Kluyveromyces lactis: one gene and its partners. The protein of the gene in region 2 purifies or fractionates together with the protein of the main gene of each other region. This does not show direct contact. Links are inferred from orthologs where the notes say so. Each region holds a gene or a part of one and is shown on either strand. Other genes may lie near its edges.

Evidence for each region.
Region 1: the proteins of RCF1 (region 2) and CYT1 purify together in Saccharomyces cerevisiae (affinity purification with western blotting; 3 studies listed by BioGRID, with this or other methods). This does not show direct contact. The link is inferred for Kluyveromyces lactis from reciprocal best matches to the Saccharomyces cerevisiae genes RCF1 and CYT1.
Region 3: the proteins of RCF1 (region 2) and COX3 purify together in Saccharomyces cerevisiae (affinity purification with western blotting; 6 studies listed by BioGRID, with this or other methods). This does not show direct contact. The link is inferred for Kluyveromyces lactis from reciprocal best matches to the Saccharomyces cerevisiae genes RCF1 and COX3.
Region 4: the proteins of RCF1 (region 2) and COX2 purify together in Saccharomyces cerevisiae (affinity purification with western blotting; 4 studies listed by BioGRID, with this or other methods). This does not show direct contact. The link is inferred for Kluyveromyces lactis from reciprocal best matches to the Saccharomyces cerevisiae genes RCF1 and COX2.
Region 5: the proteins of RCF1 (region 2) and RIP1 purify together in Saccharomyces cerevisiae (co-purification; 3 studies listed by BioGRID, with this or other methods). This does not show direct contact. The link is inferred for Kluyveromyces lactis from reciprocal best matches to the Saccharomyces cerevisiae genes RCF1 and RIP1.
Region 6: the proteins of RCF1 (region 2) and COX4 purify together in Saccharomyces cerevisiae (affinity purification with western blotting; 4 studies listed by BioGRID, with this or other methods). This does not show direct contact. The link is inferred for Kluyveromyces lactis from reciprocal best matches to the Saccharomyces cerevisiae genes RCF1 and COX4.
Region 7: the proteins of RCF1 (region 2) and COR1 purify together in Saccharomyces cerevisiae (affinity purification with western blotting; 4 studies listed by BioGRID, with this or other methods). This does not show direct contact. The link is inferred for Kluyveromyces lactis from reciprocal best matches to the Saccharomyces cerevisiae genes RCF1 and COR1.

The regions. Positions count from the first base shown.
Region 1 is NC_006042.1:1,525,675-1,528,270, reverse strand, and holds CYT1 (ubiquinol--cytochrome-c reductase catalytic subunit CYT1), read right to left. Parts: upstream 1,380-2,596; coding exon 501-1,379; downstream 1-500. Other genes in the region: YNG1 (Yng1p), read left to right, coding at 2,285-2,596. UniProt on the Saccharomyces cerevisiae protein: Component of the ubiquinol-cytochrome c oxidoreductase, a multisubunit transmembrane complex that is part of the mitochondrial electron transport chain which drives oxidative phosphorylation.
Region 2 is NC_006038.1:134,409-136,871, reverse strand, and holds RCF1 (respiratory supercomplex assembly factor RCF1), read left to right. Parts: upstream 1-1,486; coding exon 1,487-1,963; downstream 1,964-2,463. Other genes in the region: GUK1 (guanylate kinase), read left to right, coding at 516-1,094. UniProt on the Saccharomyces cerevisiae protein: Assembly factor that plays a role in the assembly of the respiratory chain supercomplexes (SCs) composed of ubiquinol-cytochrome c oxidoreductase (cytochrome b-c1 complex, complex III, CIII) and cytochrome c oxidase (complex IV, CIV).
Region 3 is NC_006077.1:37,359-39,848, forward strand, and holds COX3 (cytochrome c oxidase subunit 3), read left to right. Parts: upstream 1-1,180; coding exon 1,181-1,990; downstream 1,991-2,490. Other genes in the region: VAR1 (ribosomal small subunit protein), read right to left, coding at 1-447. UniProt on the Saccharomyces cerevisiae protein: Component of the cytochrome c oxidase, the last enzyme in the mitochondrial electron transport chain which drives oxidative phosphorylation.
Region 4 is NC_006077.1:34,436-36,948, reverse strand, and holds COX2 (cytochrome c oxidase subunit 2), read left to right. Parts: upstream 1-1,242; coding exon 1,243-2,013; downstream 2,014-2,513. Other genes in the region: VAR1 (ribosomal small subunit protein), read left to right, coding at 1-310. UniProt on the Saccharomyces cerevisiae protein: Component of the cytochrome c oxidase, the last enzyme in the mitochondrial electron transport chain which drives oxidative phosphorylation.
Region 5 is NC_006041.1:2,012,936-2,015,313, forward strand, and holds RIP1 (ubiquinol--cytochrome-c reductase catalytic subunit RIP1), read left to right. Parts: upstream 1-1,236; coding exon 1,237-1,878; downstream 1,879-2,378. Other genes in the region: putative E3 ubiquitin-protein ligase HUL4, read left to right, coding at 1-485. UniProt on the Saccharomyces cerevisiae protein: Component of the ubiquinol-cytochrome c oxidoreductase, a multisubunit transmembrane complex that is part of the mitochondrial electron transport chain which drives oxidative phosphorylation.
Region 6 is NC_006040.1:437,176-439,617, forward strand, and holds COX4 (cytochrome c oxidase subunit IV), read left to right. Parts: upstream 1-1,477; coding exon 1,478-1,942; downstream 1,943-2,442. Other genes in the region: TPN1 (Tpn1p), read left to right, coding at 1-731. UniProt on the Saccharomyces cerevisiae protein: Component of the cytochrome c oxidase, the last enzyme in the mitochondrial electron transport chain which drives oxidative phosphorylation.
Region 7 is NC_006041.1:507,937-510,995, forward strand, and holds COR1 (ubiquinol--cytochrome-c reductase subunit COR1), read left to right. Parts: upstream 1-1,221; coding exon 1,222-2,559; downstream 2,560-3,059. UniProt on the Saccharomyces cerevisiae protein: Component of the ubiquinol-cytochrome c oxidoreductase, a multisubunit transmembrane complex that is part of the mitochondrial electron transport chain which drives oxidative phosphorylation.

The DNA of each region.
Region 1 (2,596 bases), on a different chromosome or scaffold from region 2:
AAAGTAGTATTATGACGTACAAAGGAGGAGGTTCAATTCTTTCTAATTCGTAAGAAAAAAACACTATTTGTTCCCCCGAAGTACCATATTCTCAGAAGATGAGAATAAAGAGAGGGGTTGTTCGTAAAAAAAGTTTTCATTTAAATCCTCACCGTTTCATTCTTGATAATCGAGCTTCCTTTTCCCTCTTTATAAGATGTTTTTAAGCATGGTTGATGGTCAAGCCATTTTGTTTTGTTAGAATCCTTTTTTATGTGTCAGACGGTGTGGGATGTATGGGTGGAAAGATGAATATATTTGATGTATCTCTGATCTAAATGATTAAGATCACATTTGATTACCAACAATCAAATACTGATCAATCAAGTAGCAAAAAAGAAGAGACCTTGCAAGTTTCTCCGGAAATGGGGAGAAACAGAAGTAGAGAGTTGAGAGAATAAAATAGAAAGAGTTGATATGAATTAGTCTTTATTCGTTTCGACATTAATATTCAAAAAAACTCATTTCTTTGGTGGGTTGAAGACAATCTTTCTAGACTTGATAGAAGCCCACTTGAACTTCTTGACCCAGACGGACAACAAGTATAGAGAGGACAATACGATCATAGCCTTTAGACCCAATCTCTTTCTTTCATCGTGTTCTGGTTCAGAACACCAGTGCAAGAAAGTGGTAACATCCTTAGCCATTTGAGAAGTAGTGGCTGGGGTACCGTCTTCGTATTCGACCAAATCGTCGAACAAGACTCTACCCATCGCAATGGAACCACCTGGGAAGTATGGGTTGTAGTTGGCACCTGGAGGCAAGACAACACCGGCTGGTGGTTCTTCTGGGTAACCAGTTAACAAAGCAAAGATATAATCTGGACCACCGTGTCTGGCCTTGACGATCAAGGACAAATCTGGAGGTAGAGCACCTTGGTTAGCGGCTCTAGCAGCTTGTTCGTTTGGATATGGACCTGGGACATAATCAGCCAATTTACCAGGTCTCTTCTTTGGGTTACCTTGGTCATCTGGTTCGTCATCGTATTCGAACTCTTCAGCCATGGCTCTGACTTCGGCGTTAGTGTGAGAAACACCAACCATGGTTCTCCATGCAACACGGTCCAAAGAATGGCATGCAGCACAAACTTCACGGTAAACTTGGTAACCACGTCTGATAGAAGAATGGTCGAAAGTTTCCAATGGACCGTTGTGAGACCAACCGTAACCTGGGGCATGCAAACCATGCTCAGCAGCTGTCATAGCGTCAGCAGTCAAGGAATCAGCATACAACATTGTTGAAGCACCAATACCGACAACAGCAGCACCACCAACAATGGCTCTTTGAACATAAGTACCTTTTACGGCCTGTTTAGCGGCAGTAGAAAATGATCTGAACATCGTTTATTATTATGATATCACTTTAGTTTCCTATTAATTGAATTCTCTTCTAAAAGATAAAAATGTCCCGAATTTTGATATTCTAACAACTATTTGTATGAATCAAAGCTGATATTCTTGAATTTATATTCGTATCACACAGACAATGGATAATATCCTGAGAATGTATTATTATTCTTTTCTTAATATCTGTACCAGAAAGACGAACAAATAGACAGTTAGGTAAAGGACAAAAATTTAAAAGACGCAGGCTTCTTTTATTCCGTTCTTTTCAAAAATAAATATTAAATCAAATCCGTTGAATTGATTGATCGATCAGCGCAAACTAAATCCCTGGTTAATACTATAACCAACTAAACGTATATATAAATAATCTATGTATATCGTTTCCAAAAAGTTTTCTCTAGTTTGAAAAGAATTATATACTATATTTTTGTAGATATTTTTCATTATATCGCTTTTTACATAGAGAAAAAATCGATTCCCAAAATTTTCAAGCCGTTTTTTTTTTTCCCTTTCGCTGTCTGTGAGCATTTCTCTGCTAAGTTTTCTGTCCAATCCAATGATAATTGTTTGTGATTGATTATGTTTAAAGTATTTTTTTTTATTTTTCGAAAGCGATGTTTTTCTGAAGGTTTTCTATCCTAAGCGCACTGGAGGATGCGTGTTAAGGGCGATATTCCCGACGAAAAGTCACTAAGTACGGGAAAATATCCATATGTGCGGAGGTTTATGAGAAGACGGCACGTTCTTCGATGTGATTGGTCAGAACTCCATATCCCAAAAACATCAATGTCATTCACGTGACTGGGACTTGTCACGTGAATGTTTTCCTTCTGGGAAAACGTAAAACGTCTTTCCATTCATATCCATATGGCAAAAGCCATTCAAGAAAGAGTAAGTACATGCTAACGCCTAGAATAGAATTGACCATTCTGGTCTTAGTTAATCGGCTAGAAGGAAACAGCTCAAGAACAATGGAAGATGTTAGGTACGGGTTTCTCAGTACACTGGACCATTTACCATGCGATGTGATTCGCACCCTCTGGACTATACAATCATTGGATATAGGTGATACTAATAGAGATGGATGTCATTCAGAAGAGATGCTGCGACAAGCGCAACATCTCTTAGAGTTAGTACGGCAAGAACATTCACGGCTCAATTTTGAAAAACAAGAATTGGAGCGATTCTCTCAGATTAAGGCAAGGTACGAT
Region 2 (2,463 bases):
CAGACATCCGAATAATGTGGGAAATATCAATAAACCCACACACCACGCATAAATTTCATATATCACGTGATATCATTGTTGTTGACCAGCCTTGGCACAGGTTATATCAGAGAATATCGCGACACACAATACCTTCTTCTACCGGTACTGTATCCAAAAACACACTGGAACTAGTGGTTACTAGCTACTGGCTCATTGGAGCCATATATCGCTTCCTCATCGGCATTTCAGTCCACATTCCAGTTTCCATACGAGTTCCAATTTCATTTTCATTTTCTGTTTCTAGATTTAACGACGCGATGGGCATCGCCAAGTTAGAACTGAAAAATTATTTCAATGTGACATGTGTGGATCCAAGACATAGATCATTAAAAAACCACCATTTTCAATAAAGCAGTTCGTTGGTGCCACTCTTACGTTTGCGTTTACTCTTTTCGTTTCTGGTATATTTTATTTTTGAATTAGGCGCTCAGCTGGCATCTTCAACGCTTCCCTTTTGCATGTTTATTGGAAGAATGAGTCGTCCTATAGTCATTTCTGGTCCAAGTGGTACCGGTAAGTCCACTCTTTTGAAGAAGTTGTTCGCGGAGTACCCAACGAGTTTCGGGTTCTCTGTATCGTCTACTACTAGACAGCCAAGAAATGGTGAAGTGAACGGTAAGGACTACAATTTCGTTACAGTGGACGAGTTCAAATCGATGATAGATAACAAGAAGTTCATCGAATGGGCACAGTTCTCTGGTAACTACTACGGAACGACTATCGAGTCTGTGAAGGAGGTGACAAACAGCGGCAAGACGTGTATCTTGGACATTGACATGCAAGGTGTGAAATCTGTGAAACAGACCGATTTGAACGCTAGGTTCCTTTTCGTGGCTCCACCTTCTGTTGAAGTGCTGAAGGAAAGGTTGACTGGCAGAGGCACCGAGACGCCAGAATCTCTTGAGAAAAGACTAAATGCAGCCATTGCCGAATTGGAATATGCTGAGACTGGCGCACATGACTTGACCGTTGTCAACGACGATTTGGATGCCGCATACGAGAAATTGAAACAATTCATCTTCGAGGAAGAGAACAAGAGTGGAAATGATTGAGAACTCAGAAATTTCTGAAATATAATATACTACATATATGCATACCGTACCCTTATGTATATTTAAGATTATTAGTTACCATCAAGAGGGAACGAGTACTGGTCAGTGCCCTGTCATTGGTGTCGTGTTAACTGACACCTGTTTACTTTGCCATTACCCTATTGTACAAATTTCCCACACAAGTAATGAGCAAATATCGAAATAAAGGAATAGTAGAAATAAAGTTTCCAACCGATAAAGAGATTCATTAAATAAAGCAAGGCAGCAAACTATCTGGAGTTGATCAAGGCGTCTATAGTTTTCGATACAACTAACTAACAGGCCGAAATCAAGAGAAGACCGTGCTCGTACTTACAGAGATATACACCCAACAACAGCAAAAGAAAACAATCATGTCGTACCTTCCATCAAGTTTCGACTCCGATGCAGATGATTTGGATGAGATGCCATTTCTGGATAAAATGATTTACCATTGTAAGCAACAGCCATTAGTTCCTCTTGGGACTCTAGCTACCACTGGTGCAGTTTTGTTGGCTGTGCTTAATGTGAAGAACGGTAACAAGCGGAAAGCTCAGATCTGGTTCCGTTGGCGTGTAGCCCTTCAAGGGTTTACACTTATCGCCCTTGTAGCAGGTTCTTATATCTACGGTACAAATAAAAACGAAAGAGAATCTCATGAGGAACAACTAAGGAAGAAGGCCAAGATGAGAGAGCAGTTATGGATCCAAGAGTTGGAGAGAAGAGATGAAGAGACTAAGTTGAGGAGACAAAAAGCTGAACTTGCCAGACAAAAAGCTAAAGAAATGGAACAAGAGACCTCCAAACTGCAACAAGAATTGAAAGACCTTGAGGAAAGATTAAAGAAATAGGCTTATTATCTCTTTACATGACTATCTGAATTTTCCAATCAAAGAACAAATTCACTGACGAACAAGAGCCCTGAAGCATCTTTGAGGGCATCGTCATTTTACTATGCTGAATAGCAAACGAAATTAAACCTACTCATCAATATGTTTTATGAAGTGAAACAAACGCTTCTTTTCCTCTCCCAACAATTCTCTGTATATGTATATAGTTTTTTTAATGAACATATTGCTACAATGAGGCATCCAGGGGTACCCACCAATGTCTATTCACTGATCTTCCTATCCAAGGTTTCTCGTTTTCCTCGAACTCATATGTAGAACTAGGTTTCCTAGGATTTCCATGAAGCACACATATTTACTATTGAAAAATCAAGAAAAAGAACATCAAAATCGAAACAATGAAAGAATTAACAGAGCAAGGGTGTCACTTTAAAGCAAGGATTCAGAGCTCTTATCCTACTCGTAGCACGACACTGAACAAAGGTAGAAAGTGTCACTGATAA
Region 3 (2,490 bases), on a different chromosome or scaffold from region 2:
ATTATTGTTATTATTAATATTTTTATTAATATTTTTATATGATAAATAATAGAAAAATTTAATATTAACTTTATTAATACTATGTTCAAAGATAGGTTTAGAAATAATTAATTTATAAATTTTATTATTAATATTTAATACTAATAATTTTGTTAATAATTTAGTTACTAATCTATCATAAATAGTATTATTAATTTCTTCAGTTTTATTAAATTTATAAATTTGAGATGATCAAGAATTAATATTATTTAAATGTTGTAATTTTACACCTTTATTACTTAATTCATTTAAATAATCTCAAATATAAGTTTTATTTAAAGATCTATTTAATCTTTTATTATTTAATAATAATAATAATTCTTTTATAGAATTTAAATTGTTTATATTATTAATATTTTTAATAATATTTAAATTTGTTGTATGTTTATTCATTGTATTTATATTTATTTATATATATTGATCGTATAATATATATATATAAAACTATATATATATTATTATTAAATTATTAAAAAATTTAACATGTTTATTATATTTACTACTTATAAATATAAAATAAAATATTTATTATATATTTTATAAATTATGTATATTCCGCGATATCATCATATGATGATATCGCGGGAAAGAGATAAATTCCCGCGGATCCTCTACTGGTAATACCAGTAGAGGATCCGCGGGGTAAGATAATATATTCTATTTATAATTATTATTAAAGAGATAATCTATTTTATTTCCCCCCCCCCCAATCTCATATTATGAGATTGGGGGGAATCGATATATAAACCCCGGACGCCATCGTCCGACCGTAGGGTCGGACGAGGCGTCCGGGGAATTGTATTTATTTATATAGATCTATTATATATAATAATATAATTATTAATCGCCAAATACCCCTATTATAGGGGTATTTGGCGATACTAGATATATATTTAATATTACTAATAATATACTATATATAAATAGTTTTCATAATTAACTTTTCCCCATTGCGGACTCCTCCCTTCGGGGGGGGGGGAGTCCGCAATGGGGTTTATAAGTAAGTATAATATAATAATAATTATATTAAAATATAAATATTATCATATATATATATATTATATATATATATTAAGTAATATTATTTCTATAAATTAAATTAACATTTAAATTTATAAATGTATAGATTATAAAAATATTTATGACACATTTAGAAAGAAGTAGACATCAACAATTTCCCTTTCATTTAGTAGCTCCATCACCATGACCAATTGTAGTATCATTTGCATTAATGTCATTAGCATTATCATTAGCTTTAACTATGCATGGATATATTGGACATATGTATTTAATTTATTTATCAATTTTAACAGTAACATTAAGTGCTACATTATGATTTAGAGATATTATTGCTGAAGCAACATATTTAGGAGATCATACAATTGCTGTTAGAAAAGGTATTAATTTAGGTTTCTTATTATTCGTAGTATCAGAAATTTTAATTTTCGCTGCATTATTCTGAGCTTATTTCCATTCAGCTATGAGCCCTAATATTGAATTAGGTGGTGTATGACCTCCAGTTGGTATTCAAGCTGTACAACCTACAGAATTACCTTTATTAAATACTATTATCTTATTATCTTCAGGTGCTACTATTACATATAGTCATCATGGATTAGTAGGTGGTAATAGAAAAAATGCATTATCAGGATTATTAATTACATTCTGATTAATTGTTATTTTTGTTACTTGTCAATATATCGAATATACTAATGCTACTTTCACAATTACTGATGGTGTATATGGATCAGTATTCTATGCTGGTACAGGATTACATTTCTTACATATGGTTATGTTAGCAGCAATGTTAGGTATTAATTATTGAAGATTAAGAAACTATCATTTAACAGCTACTCATCATGTAGGTTATGAAACAACAGTGTTGTACTGCCATATTTTAGATATCATTTGATTATTCTTATATATTGTATTCTACTGATGAGGTGTATAACTCATCAGTACAATATATAAGAATATCTTTAAACAATAATATTCTTACCTTTTTTATATTAAATATATAAATAAATATATAATATAATATTAATATAATACTATTATAAGTATTGCCCGCGGCAATCCTAAATAGGATTGCCGGGGAATTAGAACTACCCGTGGCACCCCCCCAAGTATATCCTAAAAAGCCCCCCGTCAAATATATTATAATGTGTCCTAGATATATTTATTTATTATGACGACTATTAATAATATGAAGTACAAGCCCAATGTCATCAGGGGGGAGGGGGGGGATTTTTTTTTTTTTTTAAAAAAATAGTTCGTAGCGTACTATCATTTTTTTTTTTTTTGGGGGGGGGGGGGAGGGTGAAAAAAAAAAAAAACCCCCCCCCTCCTCTTATTATCCCTCATATCCGAAGTGGTACTTAACTCTAAGAATAAGACACTAGTTTTTTATTTATAATCGTTATATATCTTTTTCCTCGCTCTCTTTTTGTT
Region 4 (2,513 bases), on a different chromosome or scaffold from region 2:
GAAATTATATAATATTATTTATGAAAATAATAATATTAATACTATCCCTAATAATATTTTAATGTTTAAATATTTAGTAGGATGATCAATTCAATTAAAAGGTAGATTATCTAATAATAAATCTATTTCTAGATCTAATACAATGAATATTTTAAATGGTACATTCCAAAACTATAAATATATTTGAGGTAATCAAATGGTTAATAATTATAAATTAAATTATATCCCTGTTAACCATAATATTACTAATATTTCTGATGTTAATAAAAATGGTAAATATAATATTAAAGTTAAATTAAATACTATTTAATTTATTAATTAATAATAATAAATAAATAATCAATATTCTTCCCCCACGCGGCATTACCCTAGGGTAATGCCGCGTGGGGCTTCTTTCTTTATATTATAATTATATAATTATATAATATATAATAAATTAATATATACATATAATCCCCCCTTCATATTATATGAAGGGGGGGGTAAAAATATAAATATTTTATAATATATAATAAATTAATATATATCTTTCCCGCGTTCTCCTTACTATTTCCTTAAGGACCTCTAAATACTAATAAAAATTAATTTTATATTATTAATTTTATATATAAATAAATATATAATATACATTTTCCCGCGGGGTATAATACTTATTATTAGTATTAATAATTTATTTATTTATTTATTTATTTATTTATTAATTTATTTATAATACTTTTCCCGCGGACTTATTCCCTGGAATTCCAGGGAATAAGCCGCGGGGTGTATAAATAATTTTATATACTCTTCTCCCGGGGACTCCTTCCCATAAGGTGTATACCTGGGAAGAGTCCCCGGAGTTAATATAATTAATAAACCCCACCCCCTTTAAGGGGGGTGGGGAGGAATACGCAATTGGGGGAATTTATAATAATTATTATATAATATTATTATATAGATATAAGTAAGTATAATATTATTATAATAATAATAATAGAGATTAGCTTAATTGGCAGAGCATTCGTTTTACACGCGAAGGACATGAGTTCAAATCTCGTATCTCTAATATATATTAAATATATCAATTAAAATATAAAAATTTAATAATAATATATCAATATACTTATTTAATATTATTATAATTATTTATAATAATTTATTATTAATAAGTTTTTTTCCTAATTGCGAACTCATCAAAACATTAGTTGGATGAGTTCGCGGGAGAATAATATATTAATCAATGTAATATCTAATATATAGAATATATATAGATTAAAAAAAATTATAAATATGTTTTATTTATTAAATTCAATTATTATGAATGATGTACCTACACCTTATGGTATGTATTTCCAAGATTCAGCTACACCTAATCAAGAAGGTATTTTAGAATTACATGATAATATTATGTTCTATTTATTTATTATTTTAGGATTAGTATCATGATTATTATTTACAATTGTAAGAACTTATAGTAAAAATCCTATTGCTTATAAATATATTAAACATGGTCAAACTATTGAAATTATTTGAACAATTTTCCCTGCTGTAATTTTATTAATTATTGCTTTCCCTTCATTCATTTTATTATATTTATGTGATGAAGTTATTTCTCCAGCAATGACTATTAAAGCTATTGGTTTACAATGATATTGAAAATATGAATACTCAGATTTCATTAATGATAATGGTGAAACAGTAGAATTTGAATCATATGTTATTCCTGAAGATTTATTAGAAGATGGTCAATTAAGATTATTAGATACTGATACTTCAGTAGTAGTACCTGTTGATACACATATTAGATTTGTTGTTACAGCAGCTGATGTTATTCATGATTTTGCTGTACCTAGTTTAGGTATTAAAATTGATGCAGCTCCTGGTAGATTAAATCAAGTATCAGCTTTAATTCAAAGAGAAGGTGTATTCTATGGACAATGTTCAGAAATTTGTGGACAATCACATTCAGCTATGCCTATTAAAATTGAAGCAGTTTCATTACCAGCATTCTTAGAATGATTAAATGAACAATAATTATATAATTTATAATTAATAAATTATATATAATAATATTCTTTCCCTGCAAACCCTACAATATTATTAGGGGTTTCCCCACGGTCACCTTCCCGACCCACAAGGAGACGGGGATTCTTACTTATTTTATATCCCGCGGATTCATGTTATGAATCCGCGGAATTATTATATTATATTATATTATATTATATTATATTTTTAAATATAATAATAATTATATATAAATAAGAGTATAAAAATAATTTATTGATCTCATGCTATACTCCCCCCCCTTCCTGTCGCACACGATTGGTGCGCAGATATTGAAGGGGGGGAGTAGGGAGTAATAAATTTAGGATAACCATTATTATAATAATTAATTATTATAATAATATTTTTCCCCCGCGGTCTCTCACCCTACGAATGTAGGGTGATGAGCCGCGGGGTAATTCTTATTTATTATATATTATAATATTAATAATAAACCCCCGCGGACTCCTTTAAAGGAGTCCGCGGGAAAA
Region 5 (2,378 bases), on a different chromosome or scaffold from region 2:
TAAATTTTTATATGAATGAGGGGGTCTCATCGAGTTTTAGTGCATTCCAATCCGGGTTTACAAGAGTCATCGGGGATGGTTTGGCTTTCCCGATGTTCAAAAGTTGTGAAGTAGAAAGGCTCATCTGTGGCAGCATAGAACAAGACATGGATTTCGAACAACTTCGCGCTGTGACGAAATACCAAGGCGGATTCCATAACCAAACCCCGGTAGTGGAATGGCTATGGGAAATACTACCACAATTATCCCATGAACAGCAACGTCAATTTCTCCATTTCGTGACTGGGAGTGACAGAGTTCCAGTGACGGGACTTGCGACGCTTCCGTTCAAGGTAACCCGCACAACGTCCGGATCACATGATCAGTTGCCCACTGCCCATACCTGTTTCAACGAACTCTGCTTGTACGAATATGAGTCACGTGATACTCTTCTTCTGCGATTGGTGACTGCCCTCGAAATGTATGAGGGTTATGGGTTTAAATAATGTCAGCAACAAACATACATTAATATAATCACTACAAACGAACCAATCATATCGTGAACCAGGCTTTACAGAAAAACCTGCTTCCCTTGAATAACCAGAAAACACAAGGAAATGGACACTTACAGCTACTATGTGAAAGCCGTTAAATGCGAAGCGTTTTACTGACACTAGGCCCAAAGGCCCTAGTGTCAGTTATCATTTCCACCAAGAAAATCTTCCTATACTTGACCATTTACGCAAATAAAATTGTATACTTGTAAATTGGAAAATAATAACCACACCAGGAAGTTCTGCCTCGTCCCAGCTCATTTACACTGTCCATTCCTGTCTGGTCGAATTATATCTTGTTTAATCCTTTAGCGCTTCTTACTATTGGCTTTTTTCCCAATCTGAAATTTTTCTTTGTTTTTTTTTTTTTTGCTTCCTTCCGCACTTATTAAGCTGCAATGGCTTCTGTTTAATATGGATAGAGATAATTTGATAATTTCTCTGAATAAAATAAAATAGAAAAAGATTTAGTACAATCATTTTATTATTACTTTCAGTTCCAACAACATTTTTGCATTGATATATATATTTTATAATCTGGCTTGGTGATTCATATCTGTGTATATATTTATTGATACTCCGAGAGTGCTTTGCTGTTGTGATTAAAGTCGATATCATAGAAACGATTTCTCCGAAATAAGAACGGGAAATTAGTACGAATAATACACTCTAGCGATATATCCATAACTAACTAATATCAAAAATGTTGGGTTTAAGAAACGGTTTGAAGACTGGTTTGAAGTCTGTTGCTCCAGCCAGATTAATTTCTACTTCTGCAGTTGCTGCCAAGTCTACTTACAGAACTCCAGATTTCGGAGACTATATCAAGGAGAATAACGATGCTGACAAAGGTCGTTCTTATGCTTACTTTATGGTTGGTTCTTTAGGTTTGTTGTCCTCTGCCGGTGCCAAATCCACCGTTGAAACTTTCATCGCTTCTATGTCTGCATCTGCAGATGTTTTGGCTATGGCTAAGGTCGAAGTCAACTTGGCTGCTATTCCAGAAGGTAAAAATGTCGTTGTGAAATGGCAAGGTAAGCCAGTTTTCATCAGACACAGAACCGACCATGAGATTCAAGAAGCTAACAGTGTTGATATGTCAGCTTTGAAGGATCCTCAAACTGATTCTGACAGAGTTCAAAAGCCAGAATGGTTAGTCATGTTGGGTATCTGTACTCATTTGGGTTGTGTTCCTATCGGTGAATCTGGTGATTTCGGTGGTTGGTTCTGTCCATGTCACGGTTCCCATTACGATATCTCCGGTAGAATCAGAAAGGGTCCAGCTCCATTGAACTTGGAAATCCCTCAATATGAATTCGATGGTGAAAACTTGATTGTCGGTTAAGCGCAGAAGGAAAGCTAAAAAAAGATTATATTATGTTGATAAATTGTTGAAATAGGCTACCTTTTTTTGCTATTTCTCAAATTTAACTCTCTTCCTTTTTCTCTTTCTCTTTGTCCTTCTCACTCCAGCTTTCACTAATAAAATTCTTTATTCCCATGTTGATGTCTCCTACTCCCCCCATGTATTTTCCAAGTAGGATTCACAACCAAGGTCAATATCTTTTATGCTAAAGTTTGTCATATTGGAATCGTGTAAGCTCGTTTTTTCACGTTCCATCATCACTACCCGATTTATTATTATTTATTCATACAAACATTTTTGAAACCACAACTACCCGTGCCCCCATAGCTCAAGCAAACTAAAAGGATAGCAAGCATGAAATGCTTTTGAAGCATTGTTCAATTGTATGTCATCACTTTTCCTTTTAACTGCACTGAGAAACAATCGCATTAATACCTGAATGACCACATCAGGCTACTACCGTGATTGAAACCCTTTTA
Region 6 (2,442 bases), on a different chromosome or scaffold from region 2:
TTGGTGTATTGGGTCTTCTACTGGCATCATGTTCACTGTCCTACGAACCTTGGCAAGCTGCATATGATGAATATGGGATGGGTGGTCTCATGAATGCTGGTTTCTCTCGTTGGAATGGATTTGGGAAATTTTTGGTCGTTGTATTGATCTTATCTTTAATCTCGAATAATATTGTTAACACATACTCTGCAGCATTCTCCATCCAATTATCAAGTGTGATGTTAGCCAAGGTGCCTCGTTGGATCTGGGCTATCGGATGTACCATCTTTTACCTCGTATGTGCGCTAGTAGGTAGAAACAGTTTTTCCACCATCTTGGGAAATTTCCTACCTATGATTGGTTACTGGATTAGCATGTACTTCATCTTACTCGTGGAAGAGAACGTCATCTTTAGAAACTGGTTCCACCATCTATATAAATTGGAATTCCCCAATGACATAGAAGTGAAACCACATCATAAACTAAGGAAATTACCAAGGCACATCCACAGGTACAACTGGGATGAATGGGACAACTCTGAAGTCATCACAAGAGGATTGGCTGCATCCGCTGCGTTCTGCATCGGTGTTGCTGGTGTGGTACTTGGAATGTGTCAAACGTATTACGTGGGGCCACTTGCCGCAAAGATTGGCGAGTATGGCGGAGATTTAGGTATGTGGCTCGGTATGGGTTTCGCAGGAGTATCATATCCACCACTAAGGTACTGCGAACTGAAGAAATTTGGCAGGTGAACCATTTTCCCCATTATCTGACATTATACACATATAATAGAAACACACATATATGTACACACATATATGTATATAACCTGTCACGCGACGCGCGCCAGATCAAATGAATAATCTCTTTAATATTAATGGCATGGCATTGCCTATATAAATCACATGACCTCTAGCCAACCATATCGCAGAATTCTCACTCAATTGACAACACCCACACTAGATCCTACTCTCGCCGGAAACAAAATAGAAACAAATACGAAAGACTACTCCAGCTAAAAAATGTGTACATCACTATGTACGAGTAGACACCTTTTTTGTATCTTTCCTTCTTCTCCCTGCTCCAATCATACTGGGAAACATGATGTGATTTTTGTACGTTTTTTGTTATAAGCGATAATTTTCATTTCTTGATTTTCGCAGGATATTGGAACCGAATGTATATATATGAATAATATTTTCAACAGTGATTTCAGAGTTTTAGAAAGTAGCTAAAGACGTTTTATCAAGTTTGTTCAAGAGAGTCATACGTTTGTTTCAGAGGGTTTTCTTTCGCCGATTACTTTCATTTGCGAATATATTCAACTGATCACCTTATCTGTCTCAGCTAGCTTACAGTATCCAAGTGGTTCTTTTTGTCATATATTGCTAATTGATTAGTTCATTACAATTCAAATATACCTTTGTTCCATCGTTTTAGATTCACACATCGGAGTATCTAAGTTATCACCTATCAATCCAATCACAAAGAAGAAATAATGTTGTCTCTACGTCAATCCCTATCGAAGTTGTTCGGCCCAGCATCCAGAGCTTTTGCTACCACCAAGGTTGCAGGTGATCAACAAGTTGTTAAGACTGCTACCAAGTTGGCTGAAGTTAACGGTGCTGACACTTTGATTGGTCCTGGTGCCAAAGACGGTGAAGTTCCAACCGAATTGGACCAAGCCACTGGTTTAGCCAGATTGGAATTGTTGGGTAAATTGGAAGGTATCGAAGTTTTCGACACCAAGCCATTGGACTCTTCCAGAATCGGTACCATGGAAAACCCAATCATTGTTGAATCCTACGATGACTACCGTTATGTCGGTGCCACTGGTTCCCCAGCTGGTTCTCACAACGTCATGTGGTTGAAGCCAACCGACGGTCAAGTCGCCAGATGTTGGGAAACCGGTTGTGTATACAAGCTTAAGATGGTCGGTGTTCCTCAAGAAGGTCACCATTAAGCATTTTAATCCTTCCTTCCATATCATTCCCACTTATCCTGGTAAAAAAAGGATTAACAACCAGTGTACCACTATATCATTCTAAAAATTCCAATACAAATGTCAAATACACAAACCTATTCTAAAATATTACAAAATAATAAATTACACAAGCTGAAGCAACAAATTACACAAAAAGTTTAGTGGGGACATATACTTGAACTGGTCCTGCACATAATCAAGATTTGTTTATATGTTTGGAAAGCGGGGAACAGGCCAGATCTATTGAATTTTAAAAGAATGATTGATTCATATTTTATACCAATTGCCTCTATTTCTTTCCCCCCCCGGATCGTTTAAACCAATTAAAGACTTATGTTACACATTGTTTCTCTACATACTACATTTCACAGGTAAGAACTCATTATTTAAATTAAGTACGATTTTATCAATAAAATTTCAAAAAAAAAAGTCTTTGTTTCAAGGTGACACCGAGGGTCAGTATGACAATTACCGATACA
Region 7 (3,059 bases), on a different chromosome or scaffold from region 2:
TTTGCGGGAATAAGCTCCCTTCTAAATTTCTTAGAAACCTTGCTTGAAGAAGTCGTAAATACATGCAGGGATAGTTGGCGAATGAAATGATGATTTTATTTCCGAAGAGTAAATCCGAATGGATATTCGTTGCGGTGTTTTCAAGGCGAGAATCGAACACTTACACTGTACGCACAAACCACCAGCAAGCAAGCAAGTAATCAAAAAAAAAAAAAGTACTCATTTGGACTTTGGTACTTACCCGAATCTTTCTATTGTGCGGGTAAGTGTAATTTTATTCACGTGAGTCGAATTTCAATCTCGGTATTTGATCATCTTTGACGAACCAATGGAAATCCAGTTCGGGCATCGTATTTCACGGTTCATTTTTCATTCAAAGTTTACCGCTTACCATAGGAAATCGAGCATTTCCACTGTTTATTATGGGAAAAGAAATGCTGGTACCGATACTTCCGTAACTGCGAGATGAGCGAGAAAGAGGGATATGCAATCCCAAAAATGTCGATTTGATTGGAAATGTTCGAGCAGATGGAATTAGCAGTTTTGGGGCTAAATTCTCGTCCCGAAAAGTACTCGCTACTATGTAAATTTTTGTTTTTCGGACCAGTTTCTCGGCCAGAAACGATTTTAATAATTGTTCAAAGGGGGTCCCCTATTAATTATGTGGACAGGTCGTTGTCCAATGAAAGAAAATCTCTATGCTACAGAGAAGACAAAGAAGAAGAGGTAAAAAAAAAAAATTATGGAAATATCGAAAAACTAGACAGCGCTCTCAGTATCAACATTTTTCACTTTTTTCATATAGTGTAACCTTCCAAAATTAAAAAAAAATTAAAAGTAGTTAGATAAATCATTGATATTTGTTTAATGAAAGTACACTAACTTTATTTAGACCTGTTTATAGTTTTCTACTCTTGTATATTGCTTCAGTCAAGTGTGCACAATTTTAAGGAAATTGAGAATTCAGTTAGGCTAAAAACTATCCAAACTTTGCTTTATATTTTTTTCAGTGAAATACCACTATACTGTTTTTTGAATCGATAGTATACCAACAGAAAGGTTTCCAAGGAAAAAAGTAAACGAGAATTATAACTTCGAAGGTATTACATTTGGGAGCTCATTGACTTGTTTTTGATCCCGTATTCTATTTATTTTGCACGTACAAATTCAACACACTATATTGATTAAACGGATTATAACCAATTATTTGCCATAAGAAAGATGTTGAGAACCGCTACTAGATCTTCAATCTTGAAGAGAACCATTGCCACTCAAATTACCCCAAAAGCCATCGTCACCGAACTATCTAACGGTGTTGTTGTTGCTACTGAACCAAACAGCAACTCTGCCACTGCTGCGGTCGGTTTGGTGTTCGGTTCCGGTACTACTGCCGAAAACCCATACAACAACGGTGTTTCCAACTTGTTGGCTAACTCCTTTGTCAACTCTTCTATCAAGGATGCTCAAAAATTGGGATTCTCCTTAGAAACCAAGGTTGGCAGAGACCACCAATCTTACATTGTTAACTCTCAACCAGGTCAATATGCTAAGGCTCTAGAATTCTTGCAATCCAAGCTTTTCGCTCCAATTGAGGACTCCGTCTTCGAAAGTTCCAAGAGAGCTACTGTAGACACTGTTGCCAAGTTCGAAGAAACTGAACACGAACAACGTGTTTTCGAACACTTGCACGCCACTGCTTTCCAAAACACTCCATTGTCTTTGCCAGTCAGAGGTACTGTCGAAACTCTAGAAGGTTTGGAAAACATCGACTTGTCCAACTTCGTTCAAAACCAATTCAAGGCAAACAACTCTGTTATTGTTGGTACCGGTAACGTTAACCACGATGAATTGGTCAAGGCTGTTGAAACTAAGCTTTCTTTGCTATCTGGTGACAAACCAGTGCCAAAGAAGAAGTCCACTTTCTTGGGTTCTGAAGTCAGACTAAGAGATGATACTCTACCAAAGGCTTGGGTATCTATCGCTGCTGAAGGTGAACCTATCAATTCTCCACAATACTATGTTGCTCAAGTCGCTGCTGAAGTCTTCGGTACTTTCGTTGCTGCTGAACCAGCTTCCAACCTACAAGGTGTTAAGTTGATCGACGAAGTTAACGAATACCACTTGTGTGACTCTTTCGAACACTTCTCTGTCTCTTATAAGGACTCCGGTTTGTGGGGTTTCAGAACCACCATCACCGACCCACACAACATCGATGAAACTGTCCATTTCACTTTGAAGCAATGGAACAGATTGTCCATCTCTGTCACCGAAACTGAAGTCGCTCGTGCTAAGTCTTTGTTAAAGTTGAAGTTGGCTTCTCAAGTTTCTACCAACGCTGCTGCTGCTAACTTGTTGGGTGCTCAAACCTTGGTTTTGGGTGCTAAGCCAGCCTTGGCTGAAGTCTTCACTAAGATTGACAAAATTACCTCCAAGGATATTAAGGCTTGGGCTTCCGAAAGATTATGGGATCAAGATATCGCTGTTGCCGGTACTGGTAAGATTGAAGACTTGTTGGACTACGTCAGAATGAGAAACGACATGAGTATGATGAGATGGTAATCAAACTAAAAGCCGAGTCTTAAGATATTTTAACAATTCTTTTTATATTATATTCTCATTTCACGACGGTCATTCTAAAAACAATTCTCTCTTTTCTACTCGACTGAGTAGAATTACTCCCTGTAACATTTACTTTTGAGTTGTTATAACCATATCACTCGATGAGTAATAAGTTACAGTTTAATTTCATGTGTGTATATTCCCCCAAAAAAAGAAATTTGTCACGATCGATTTATATCAATATTTTACTGTTTTGGACTAAAGTCTAGGGTGTTTACTGGCGCATTCGATTTTTCGCTCTGTCACAGCTCCTCAAGATCAATACATTTAATGAACATAATGTATTTTTTAATTCCAAATGATATTTGAAAATTTAGGCTAAATCGAAATAAATCAAAATCTCGCTCATTATTCGTCGAAACAAAAATATGAGTTCAATGTCCTTATTTATGATACTGTCATTTACTGGTGAGCAATTGAATACATTTTAACCATCAAGA